Linked DNA regions of Caenorhabditis elegans. The protein of the gene in region 1 purifies or fractionates together with the protein of each later gene. This does not show direct contact. Each region holds a gene or a part of one and is shown in the gene's direction. Other genes may lie near its edges.

What was found.
Region 2: the proteins of lin-13 (region 1) and lin-61 purify together in Caenorhabditis elegans (affinity purification with western blotting, with the first as the bait; one study listed by BioGRID). This does not show direct contact.

What each region holds. Positions count from the first base shown.
Region 1 is NC_003281.10:7,706,419-7,711,649, reverse strand, and holds the start of lin-13 (Zinc finger protein lin-13), read left to right. Parts: upstream 1-2,158; 5' UTR 2,159-2,177; coding exon 2,178-2,258; intron 2,259-2,301; coding exon 2,302-2,483; intron 2,484-3,164; coding exon 3,165-3,638; intron 3,639-3,682; coding exon 3,683-3,899; intron 3,900-3,946; coding exon 3,947-4,291; intron 4,292-4,344; coding exon 4,345-4,601; intron 4,602-4,638; exon of another isoform or gene 4,639-4,788; intron 4,789-4,856; coding exon 4,857-5,058; intron 5,059-5,105; coding exon 5,106-5,231. UniProt on the Caenorhabditis elegans protein: Involved in repression of vulval fate, possibly by a tumor suppressor protein Rb-mediated mechanism. May act in a common pathway with retinoblastoma-like protein homolog lin-35 and hpl-2 to influence the ER stress response in the intestine.
Region 2 is NC_003279.8:7,248,476-7,253,537, reverse strand, and holds lin-61 (Protein lin-61), read left to right. Parts: upstream 1-2,255; coding exon 2,256-2,618; intron 2,619-2,721; coding exon 2,722-2,904; intron 2,905-2,952; coding exon 2,953-3,119; intron 3,120-3,245; coding exon 3,246-3,342; intron 3,343-3,392; coding exon 3,393-4,202; intron 4,203-4,289; coding exon 4,290-4,429; intron 4,430-4,483; coding exon 4,484-4,562; downstream 4,563-5,062. Other genes in the region: Mitotic checkpoint serine/threonine-protein kinase bub-1, read right to left, coding at 1-899, 943-1,472, 1,518-1,591; adsl-1 (Adenylosuccinate lyase), read left to right, coding at 4,862-5,062. UniProt on the Caenorhabditis elegans protein: Synthetic multivulva class B (synMuvB) protein required to repress the induction of vulval development by Ras signaling. Unlike other synMuv proteins it does not associate with the multiprotein DRM complex and the NuRD-like complex.

The sequences.
Region 1 (5,231 bases):
GCGTGCGCGTTGCGGTTTTCGAATTATGGAAGTGCGCTCTACCGAAATTCGCATTGCTCGACATTTTCCTGTTTCTACAGTTATTTACATTTCCCTTTTCAAATGTTTTCAGTAAATCCAAAAGTTTAGTTTTTTGATTATTGTTCTTCTAATTTTTTCTAAAATTTCAAAATTAAAATTCTTTTAGTAACACTACAAATTAATTTATATTGCAAAGTTCCAGTATTAACTTTTCCTAAGCCCAGTATTAACTTTTCAAATCAATATCGAATCTTAATTCTATCCTAATTTCTCTTCTCAAAGTTATTTATTGACTGATTTTTAAACTTTAATCCTATTTTGGAGTTATTGATTCTGCGTTGCGGTCGCGTCGCGGTCACGCCACCCGTTCCTCACTTTTGTAAATTTTCTGAAGGTATCCCAAACGAGAAATCGTGCACAGCGGCTGCGTCGCGGTTTTTCATTTATTCAGTCTCGTTTCGTGTGTGGCTGGTTATTTACGCGGGCTGCCGCCGCCCACTTTCTCTCTTCCCTGCAGTGGCCTAAAATTGTATTGACCGCCGCGAAGTGTCCGCAATTGTGCGCCGTGGTGAACATTAACACACACGGGACCGGAAAAATGTGTAGTGTGTTTTTGAATATTATTTTGTTTTCTAGAGAAAATAAATATAGTTTAGAGTACAGTAAAATTATCGCTGCAAGACCACACTATAGTTGCAGAGTTCTTGACTGAGCGCTTCTTTAAGTTTTCTTGCTTTTATTTTATTTTTCCTGCTCATTGGGTTCAAATGTGGGCTTGCTCGAATTTCCACTTTAGCTGTTTTCTAATTTCGGAGCTGTATACTGTTCAAATCTATAGAATTTAACAATGTACTTTTTTCAAATGAATAAATCTGAAAAATGTGGCACCTGTAGCGATCACTATGACTGTGATCGTGGCGAGACCCGCTCAGAAAAACAACGTGTGCCTTTAAACTGACGAGTGAAATTTGTTGCGAAATTACGATAATAAAACTGGTTGGTGTGTTTGCACAGTTTTCGAAAGTTCTGCCTAATTTTTGGGGTCTGTACTTACGCGACAGAACATTTTATTATTTTCAGTGTACAGTATCCATTTACAGATACCCTTCTTTATTTTGAATCATCTGACCGTTTTAGACCCCAGTCCTTTTTGAATTTGTTTCCGTGGATTACTGTAGTTGCACAGCTAAATTTTTAAATATTTCAAACTGTCGTCAAATATAGCGCCGTAATGTACGCAAACACTTTGGGCAAAACCCATTCACTTTTCTTTTTTCTCCAATCGATTCGTCCTTGCTAGCCCCGTTGCAGTAGACACTGCAGCAGGGCAAAGAAATAGGTCTCGTTTCTCTGCGCCCTCTCCGCTGCTCATAGTCTTCCTACCATCGTTTGTCCGTCTGACCAATAAATATGAGAGACGCAGAGTGGCATATACGCTCTGCGGTACTTTCTATATGACACAGCCTTCAAATTCTCAATTCCAATGCGCGCCAAAAGATCGGTAAAAATTTTTGTCGCAGTTTCAAAATTTTTGTCGATTCCGTAACACGTTTCCGGATTTTGCTTTTTTAAATGAGAATATTATTTTTTCGGGGGTTTTAAAATATATTGAGTTTGAAGTATGACAGGATGTGCGCTGATTCTGCGTGTAGTCGTGTCGAGATCAGTAATTAGTGGGAAAGGGCTCACGAAAGTTCAGAGTTCGGTTTTTTGAAATCATTAGACCTCCAATGAAATAAACTTATCTAATAAAAAACCTAAACATTTTAAAGAGTTCTTATAAGTGTGTTCAATGGGTCGGACACGCCCACATAACCGCGCCCCGTATAAAATTTGTATCATAGTAGTGAGGTTAGCCAACGAATTGCAGTATATTTCACGCGCAAATTTGAAACAATTAAGTTACTGGTATTCACTATACATCGTAAAAAACCGAACAAACGTTTAAAAATACGCAAGTTAGGCGTAAATTAATTTCGAGAACATATGATAGATTCTTGAATAATTATCTTTGATTCAAACTGGAAGTTCATGTAGATTGATATTTTAGTTTTTTTTTGAGATAAAGCTTATCTCCAGTCATTCTTTTCGTTCAGTTCTCTCATTTTTTTCTGTTGCCTTTTTCAAAAAAAATTTCAGCTCTCCAAATAACAACTATGGATGAGTTTGAGCTGTTTCAACAGCTCAACCAAACAGCCCCACTCGTTAAAACGGAGGAGCCAGAAGTTCCAGATGAGGTGAGAATCAGTAATCAAGTTGTTTAAATTACCCCAGAGAAAGTTTCAGCAAGCGAATAACAATCAAAGCGCTCCACTGCGTACAGGATTATCTGATCTCAGTCATGAGATAGCAGCTGCCAAACAGAGAGAAGAAGAGGAGGCACAACGGCTTGCTGATTTTATGCAAAAGGATATGAAAGAGCCTGCTGTCAAGAGGAAGAGAGGATCAGAAGAATATAAAAAGTAGGTTAAGTTTAAGTTATTCAAGGAAACTTTCAAAAATGCACTTAGAAAGCATTCACAGTCAAACATTTGTTAAAATTGCTAAATTTGTGCGAATTTATTTAAATTTGTGCCACTAGAGCGCACTTTCCTCATTCGCAATTCACATTTTTGAGGCCCCACGAAAAGGGGAGCAGAACGAAAAGGGGATCTGCAAAAAGGGGATCTGCGAAAAGGGGAGATACGAAAAGGGGAGATACGAAAAGGGGAGCAACGAAAAGGGGAGCTGGCACAGTGCCAAACGCACAAAACGCTTTTTTATTCTCATTCAACGCACGACTTTGTTATAACCACACTCCGTTATTACGCATCGCGCGTTGTTTAGCGTAAAATACACAAATAATGCGTGCGTTGAATGAGAATAAAAAAAGCGTTTTGTGCGTTTGGCACAGTGCCAGCTCCCCTTTTCGTATCTCCCCTTTTCGCAGATCCCCTTTTTGCAGATCCCCTTTTCGTTCTGCTCCCCTTTTCGTGGGGCCTCACATTTTTCTTGCATCAGGTAATTTTTTAAATTCAATTTAGACTGAGTTTCACCGAGTTTTCATTTAACTGAACGAAATCTAAATACCTGGTTAAATTTTTATTTTTTCATTACCATAAATCAAAAAGGAATTATATTTACACTTACATTGAATATTTCAGAGATCCTCTTGAATCGAAAGCTCCGTTATCCACATTTGGACACTCTTCCCGACCCCGTAGATCAGTAAACTACGCGAGTATTGAACGAGGTGACGAAGCTCAAGCTCAGTCACTGGTTACCGATTTTGGAAGCCGAGGGAACCGGAAAAAGCCGAAAAGAACACGAGATGAGCTGGACGAAAATTATATGGAAGAAAATGAGGGTAATTCTGGCCGAAAGAAGAAACCTAATGCAAAAGGCGCATCCCGTCAATTTCAAGTTCCGGGTTTACCAACCTATGCTAGTCAATATTCAAGACCTCCAAAACAAGAAGATGTGTTTAAAACGATTGTCCCATTAGCAGAAGATGCGCGAGCAGAAGGTGAACGAGTAATTGGATTCCGACTAGATTCACAACCTGCTGTACGGAGGGCTTCTGGAGGATTTCGACGGTTTTGTGCATGGCTCAGTGATAACCAGATTTTTTCGATAATGTTAGTTTCTAAAGCAACGTTCAGATTCTCAATTTAAAATTCAGGCAAACTGTCGATAAACTTTGTATCGTTGGGGCAAATAATGAAGATCATGACGAAATCCTATTGAAAAGTATTCGTCATGTATACAATGCAATGCCTCCAACGTTTCGTCGTGATTGGGAGTATGCTGCAAGGAAGGATGTGTTCGATTCAAGACTTTTTGTTCAAAATATGCCGATGCCGCTTTCCGAAATCTCGGTCACGGACCCGCGTCATCCGGTAAAATTTACGGTTGTTGATATTTATCTAAATCAAAAGTTTTCCAGCCAAGTCCGATTGCGCGCGGGACAACTGTTCGCCCAAATTGCTGTGAAAATCAGCCATTGTTCTTAAATATGTGTGAAACTATTGAACACTACCTAGGACATCATGACGTGGTTCACCTTTTCGGATGTGATATCTGTTACAGAGTTTATCCGTCTCGATATGAATTAACTAAACACGATTGCAAAGAGTTTGCGGAGTACCTGCGTCAATTAACTTTCAAACAGCAAACTTTACATCTTGAAGCCGCGTACATGTACCTCTGCTGTTCTCAGTGCGGATTGTGGCTGTCGGTAAAACCATCAGGCGAAGGAAAGAAAGGATGGACGTATTTTGCAACTGCATTGGTGAGTCATGAGTGATTATACATTTTTTTCTCTGATTACAATTATTTTTACAGATGAACCATTCTTGTCAACCGTTGGTTCCGGTCGTTGCTTACTTCCCAAAACCGTTGAAAGATGAAGGGAAAGGAATACGAATTCAATTTCAAGTGATGTCTGAACTAAACATTGGACTTCCGCTGAGTTGTTCTGAATGTAACATTGAAGAATTTCATTCTGTTGTTGAAATCGAAGAGCATTTCAAAGAAAAACACGAGGCTAATCATACCTGTATAAAATGCGGAAAAACATTTGGAACCGAGTTTATGTTGAAGTGAGTTTTCATTAGAAAAAAATAGTTCATGAAGTTTCAACCACTATTCAAGTTAATCTTATGAAAATTATTGATAAGATGATTATAGAACTGTGGAATATAAACGCGAAGCGAATTATAAAAGCAGAGTGTTACTTTCCAAAAATGTTTTTTTAATGAAATTTTTGGTCTTAGACACTCAGACAACAAATACAATTTAAAGATATTTATTTTTAATTGCTTCGAAACTTTTTTCTTTATTTCTTCAAATTTTAGACATCACGCGCAATCACATACAACTCAAACCGCACAGTTCGCCAACTATTTACAAATGTCGGCTACTTACCAACCACCACCGAGTTCTGGACGTTTGCCATATGTCGGTTTTGGATCGAGTATTCCTGCGATCGGAGGACTCACTAGCGGAGAAGTACAAGCTCTTGAAGCATCAGAAAACAAAAAAAGTGAATTTGTAGAGGTAGAGTGCAGTGAAGCATTTCAAGTTCTAAAATATTCAAATTTCAGCCAGATGAGTACACTATCCGCAAAAAACTACTTCGGTGGAAGCATGCAAAAACTAAGAAGGAAAATCGTAATATTACTGATAGTAACGAGAAGGAATTTTCATACGAACCGGGAGAGTCCTCTGGT
Region 2 (5,062 bases), on another chromosome or scaffold:
TGTAGCTGGTGAGGTTTGCGTCACTGGAGAAACTAGGACAATTTCGGGTTGTACTTCAGATTCCTCAACTTTCTGAGATTCTTCCGGTTCGGCTGCCTCATCGTAAACAACATTCAACCCATTCGACACTTTTTTCGGACGCTCCTGTGTAATGGTCATTGTCGGATCAGGATCACAGAGCACGGAAAAGTCAGTAACTATCTGCGTAGTAGCTAAAGATCTTTCTGGAACGAAGACAGAATCATCGCCAAGGACCATTGTCTTTTCGCTAGCAAGATGTACAGTGTCGGAAAACATAGCATGTGCCTCCAAACACTTATTTTCCGCCATCAAATCCAATCCAGCTCCACTCTTTGATGTTCTTGCAGAAGCAGTTGAATAGTTGGAAGATATGCTTGTGGAACGGTCTGGAGGGTTACCATCTTTTCTGCCGGCAGTCATAATCTTGAGTCTTTCATCATCATCTGCATCATCGGAATCACTAACATCTTTCTCCGAAGCAGACTTTGTATCCGACGAAAGTGTCACTGTCGCTGGAGGATTCTCAATTTTGCTCCGAAGTGCAGGTCTGTGAGCATCCTTCGTTGCAACCAGCGGCGAATAAATCCGGCTTCGCTTTTCCTCCTCATCATCAACCGTTTTCTCACTGACTGGTGAAAGATGACGTCTTCTAGGATTTAGATTGGCGTTGAATCGGTTTTCAACTTCTTCGCGGGCTTGTCTGTCGGTATCAATGACTTGATGTTTCACGAAAACGACACCAGAGTCTTTTCGTTTTCGGTAATCGTCATCAACATCTTCTCCGAAAGTGTCCTTCCATTTGGCAAAACGAAACTCCTCAATCGATATTCCATGATAGTTTGGCCTGTCGATACACGCCTGGCGAAGATCCGTTTTGGCTGTAAGTTTCCAATGAGAATAATAACTTTTTTTCAAACTTACTTTTTGGTCCAAATGCAGCTTTTCCCGAGTTATTTATAGGCACATTGTGTTGCAAAAAGCAAACCGAAGAGCGACGCTTTTTCTTAGAACCCGCATTGAATCTGAAAAGATCCATAGTCTCATCCGGTCGTGTGAACATATCTCCAGATTCTCCATTGAAGTATTCATCGACCAAATCGCGAAATCCCGATTCAATTGCTGTCATTTCTATTCTTTCGGAAAGACGATCTCGTGCCAACTTCAGGACATCTTTGAATTCCTCCAGCATTTGATCTTTTCCACATTCTTCTGCCCATTGCAGATAGAACTTCAGCGAACCAGTGAAATGATCCTTTTTGAAAAGTTGTTCATAAATGCCTCTTCCCTTCAGGTTTGTACTAGATCGACCCATAACTTTGTAGAGACGGAGCATCGCTTCGTTTTCACGAATTTGATCAAACTTTTGCTCCCGCAAAATTCTCCTAACGCAGTCGTATAATTCCGCCTTCATTTCCTCCGCGGTCATCATTTGAGACAACGTTTCGATTTGCCTGAAAGTGGTGACTATTTAAAATACAAGATATACGGAAACTTACGTTGCGAACGTCTCAAGACCACATGTCGACGGATTGGTGTCGAGTGGAGCGAATGCCACTCTAATGTGGGACATAACTTTCTGAAATAATCTGAATAACAAGTTTTCAAAGTAGAAAGGACGCGAATAAAAAAATCATCGGTTCACGAAAATTACGGAGTTCATTGGAGACGTGAAATCCCTCTTTCTCCTCTAAATTTTAGGACCTTCGAAAACAAGAAATGGATATAAACGCGCGCGTCTTTTTTGAAAAGCGAGTCTTCGCGGGCCTGCTCGATAGAGCGCGTTTTTCGCTGTAGTTCAGTGACGTCACTCTCATGGCTACGTTCTTTTGAATCTGGAGAATTGCGCACTACTGAAAATTGGGCGGTGCTTTATTGCTATAACTGAAAATTGATTTTAAAGCTATTTGAAATTATAAAAAAACAATTTTTTAAAAAGTGTTTGTATGCAATTGGAATTTAATTTGAAATGTTACACTTTTAATAACACAAAAAGCCCGCCCATTTTTTCGTAGTCCGTTCGTCACTAGTTTCGAAATCGACGGATCTGCATTGAGTCTCTCATTTCTTTTTTATTATTTTTCAAACATTTTCTCCATTTTCCTGTTTTGTTTCTTTTTTTTTTAAAGCAAAATGTTTCGAAATAATTGAAGTTAGCGTGGCCCAGTAGTCTAATTTGTCACCAGATAGTTAAGAGTGTTTTTGTTCGTCCGAAAAGTTAGTTCCCGAACATCAAAATGCTAAAATTAGTCATTTTGTGCTTCGCGTTGTTCTACAATACAGTCAGTTCGACAAGATTTCTGTTTGGCGTCGAAGTTAAGTGTGATTTTGATGAAGTGTTCCAATTAACAGTGTCGCATTGGGAAGACGATGGCAATACTTTTTGGGATCGCGATGAAGACATCACTGGACGTATGACTATGTTTGCTCGAAAGAAAATATTTTTCTATCAGGACGGCCATCATGGATTTGAATTTGGAAAGCTCGAGCCTTATGGGTGGTTTCTGCACAATTGCACGAAAAATGGAAATTTTCGCGAGTATAGGCACGGGTTGAGTAGCACCAGTGGATCCAATGGGTTGGAGTATATTGAGTACACTGTGAATTTGACGAACGCCTGAGAAATATCAAATCAAATCGAACTAACTTTCAATTTCAATAAACATTCTCTCTAATTACGTTTTAAACCAGTCTTAATTTCAGATGTCTGAATTTCTGAAAATTGTCAGAGCTAACAAAAAATCGGACAGAAAACTCGATAAGACCTACTTGTGGGAATCCTATTTACATCAGTTCGAGAAAGGAAAAACTTCTTTCATTCCAGTTGAAGCATTCAATCGTAACCTTACAGTTAATTTTAACGAATGCGTGAAGGAAGGAGTTATCGTGAGTTCATATTGTTCGTAAATCGGTTTTAAAATACAATTTTTGTAGTTCGAAACAGTGGTCCATGATTATGACAAGAACTGCGATTCGATTCAAGTCAGATGGTTTGCACGAATTGAAAAAGTTTGCGGATACAGAGTTCTGGCTCAGTTTATCGGAGCTGACACGAAATTTTGGCTCAATATTTTATCGGACGATATGTTTGGTTTGGCAAAGTAAGTTGGACGCTCAGCTCTTTCTACTATTCTAAATAAATAATGGTTCTGTTACATAAAATTCTAGAGAACAATCGTATTAAAACTTCGAAACATTTGTATAATAGTAAAATTTGAACATTTCAGCGCCGCAATGAGTGATCCCAATATGGATAAAATTGTATATGCTCCGCCGCTTGCAATCAACGAAGAATACCAAAATGATATGGTAAATTATGTAAATGTAAGTTTGTTTTTTTCCGAATTTATGTTAATATCATCTCACAACTTCAGAATTGCATTGATGGCGAAATCGTCGGCCAAACTTCGCTGTCTCCAAAATTCGATGAAGGGAAGGCTCTCCTAAGCAAGCATCGTTTCAAAGTTGGACAACGTCTTGAACTATTAAATTATTCCAATTCTACTGAAATACGCGTAGCGCGAATTCAAGAAATATGTGGACGACGAATGAATGTATCTATCACAAAGAAAGACTTTCCCGAATCGCTTCCAGATGCAGATGACGACAGACAAGTCTTTAGCTCTGGATCTCAATATTGGATAGACGAGGGAAGCTTCTTCATATTTCCTGTTGGATTTGCAGCAGTCAATGGATATCAACTAAATGCGAAAAAGGAATATATTGAGCACACAAATAAAATTGCTCAAGCAATAAAAAATGGAGAAAATCCAAGATATGACTCAGACGACGTCACATTTGATCAATTAGCAAAAGATCCAATTGATCCCATGATTTGGAGAAAAGTTAAGGTTGGACAAAAGTTTGAGCTCATCGACCCCTTGGCTCAGCAATTCAATAACCTCCACGTCGCTTCGATTCTCAAATTTTGCAAAACTGAAGGATATCTTATTGTGGGAATGGATGGTCCAGATGCACTTGAAGACAGTTTTCCTATTCATATCAATAATACATTTATGTTCCCAGTTGGTTATGCGGAAAAGTATAATTTGGAACTTGTTCCGCCAGATGAGTTCAAAGGAACATTCAGATGGGATGAATACTTGGAGAAAGAATCTGCAGAAACCCTACCGCTTGACTTGTTCAAGCCAATGCCTTCCCAAGAGAGATTAGACAAATTTAAGGTAATTCTGATTTCCAAACGGGTTGTTTTATATCGTTTGAGATTGTTTCACTATTAATAGTTATTCATAATTGTTTCTTGTTTTAAGGTAGGACTACGCCTTGAAGCTGCTGACATGTGTGAAAATCAGTTTATTTGTCCAGCTACAGTGAAATCAGTTCATGGAAGACTGATAAATGTCAATTTCGACGGCTGGGATGAAGAATTTGATGAACTGTATGATGTGGAGTGAGTTTATCATGACCGAACGACATTTTTTCAATGAAAATTCTATCATTTCAGCTCCCATGATATTCTACCGATAGGATGGTGTGAAGCGCACAGTTATGTTCTACAACCTCCGAAAAAGTACAACTATTGATAAAAGCTACATTAACATAATTTCATTCGTATGCAGGATCTCTTATATACACTTTCCCGTTTTGGATTGGTATTTCCCTTATTTTATTTACTGTGCTATCATTGGTGACTCTTTTTGCACCTATCGAACATGAATCTTCAACATTATTTTTCCGTTTATGGTTTCTTTTGTATCTTTTCTGCATGGTTATCGCCATTTTCTTATCTATTTAGTATTAGTGGTATCACTTTAAACATTCTACCAGTTTTATGTTGAATGTTCTGAAAATATTAAGCGTTTTGGTTTCAGTTTATTGTATCATGGCCTCCGAAGACAAGTTCGAGTCGGTTCTATCAACTCGTTACTGTAAGAATAGTCCACTTGTTTCGATCCTCTCGGAGACTAATAAAGCGACTCTTTGGAGACAACTATGGATTTGGCTCGCTGAAGCTGAAAAAGAGCTCGGTCTTAAACAAGTTACTCAGGATGCAATTGATGAGATGAAATCCAATAGAGATGTA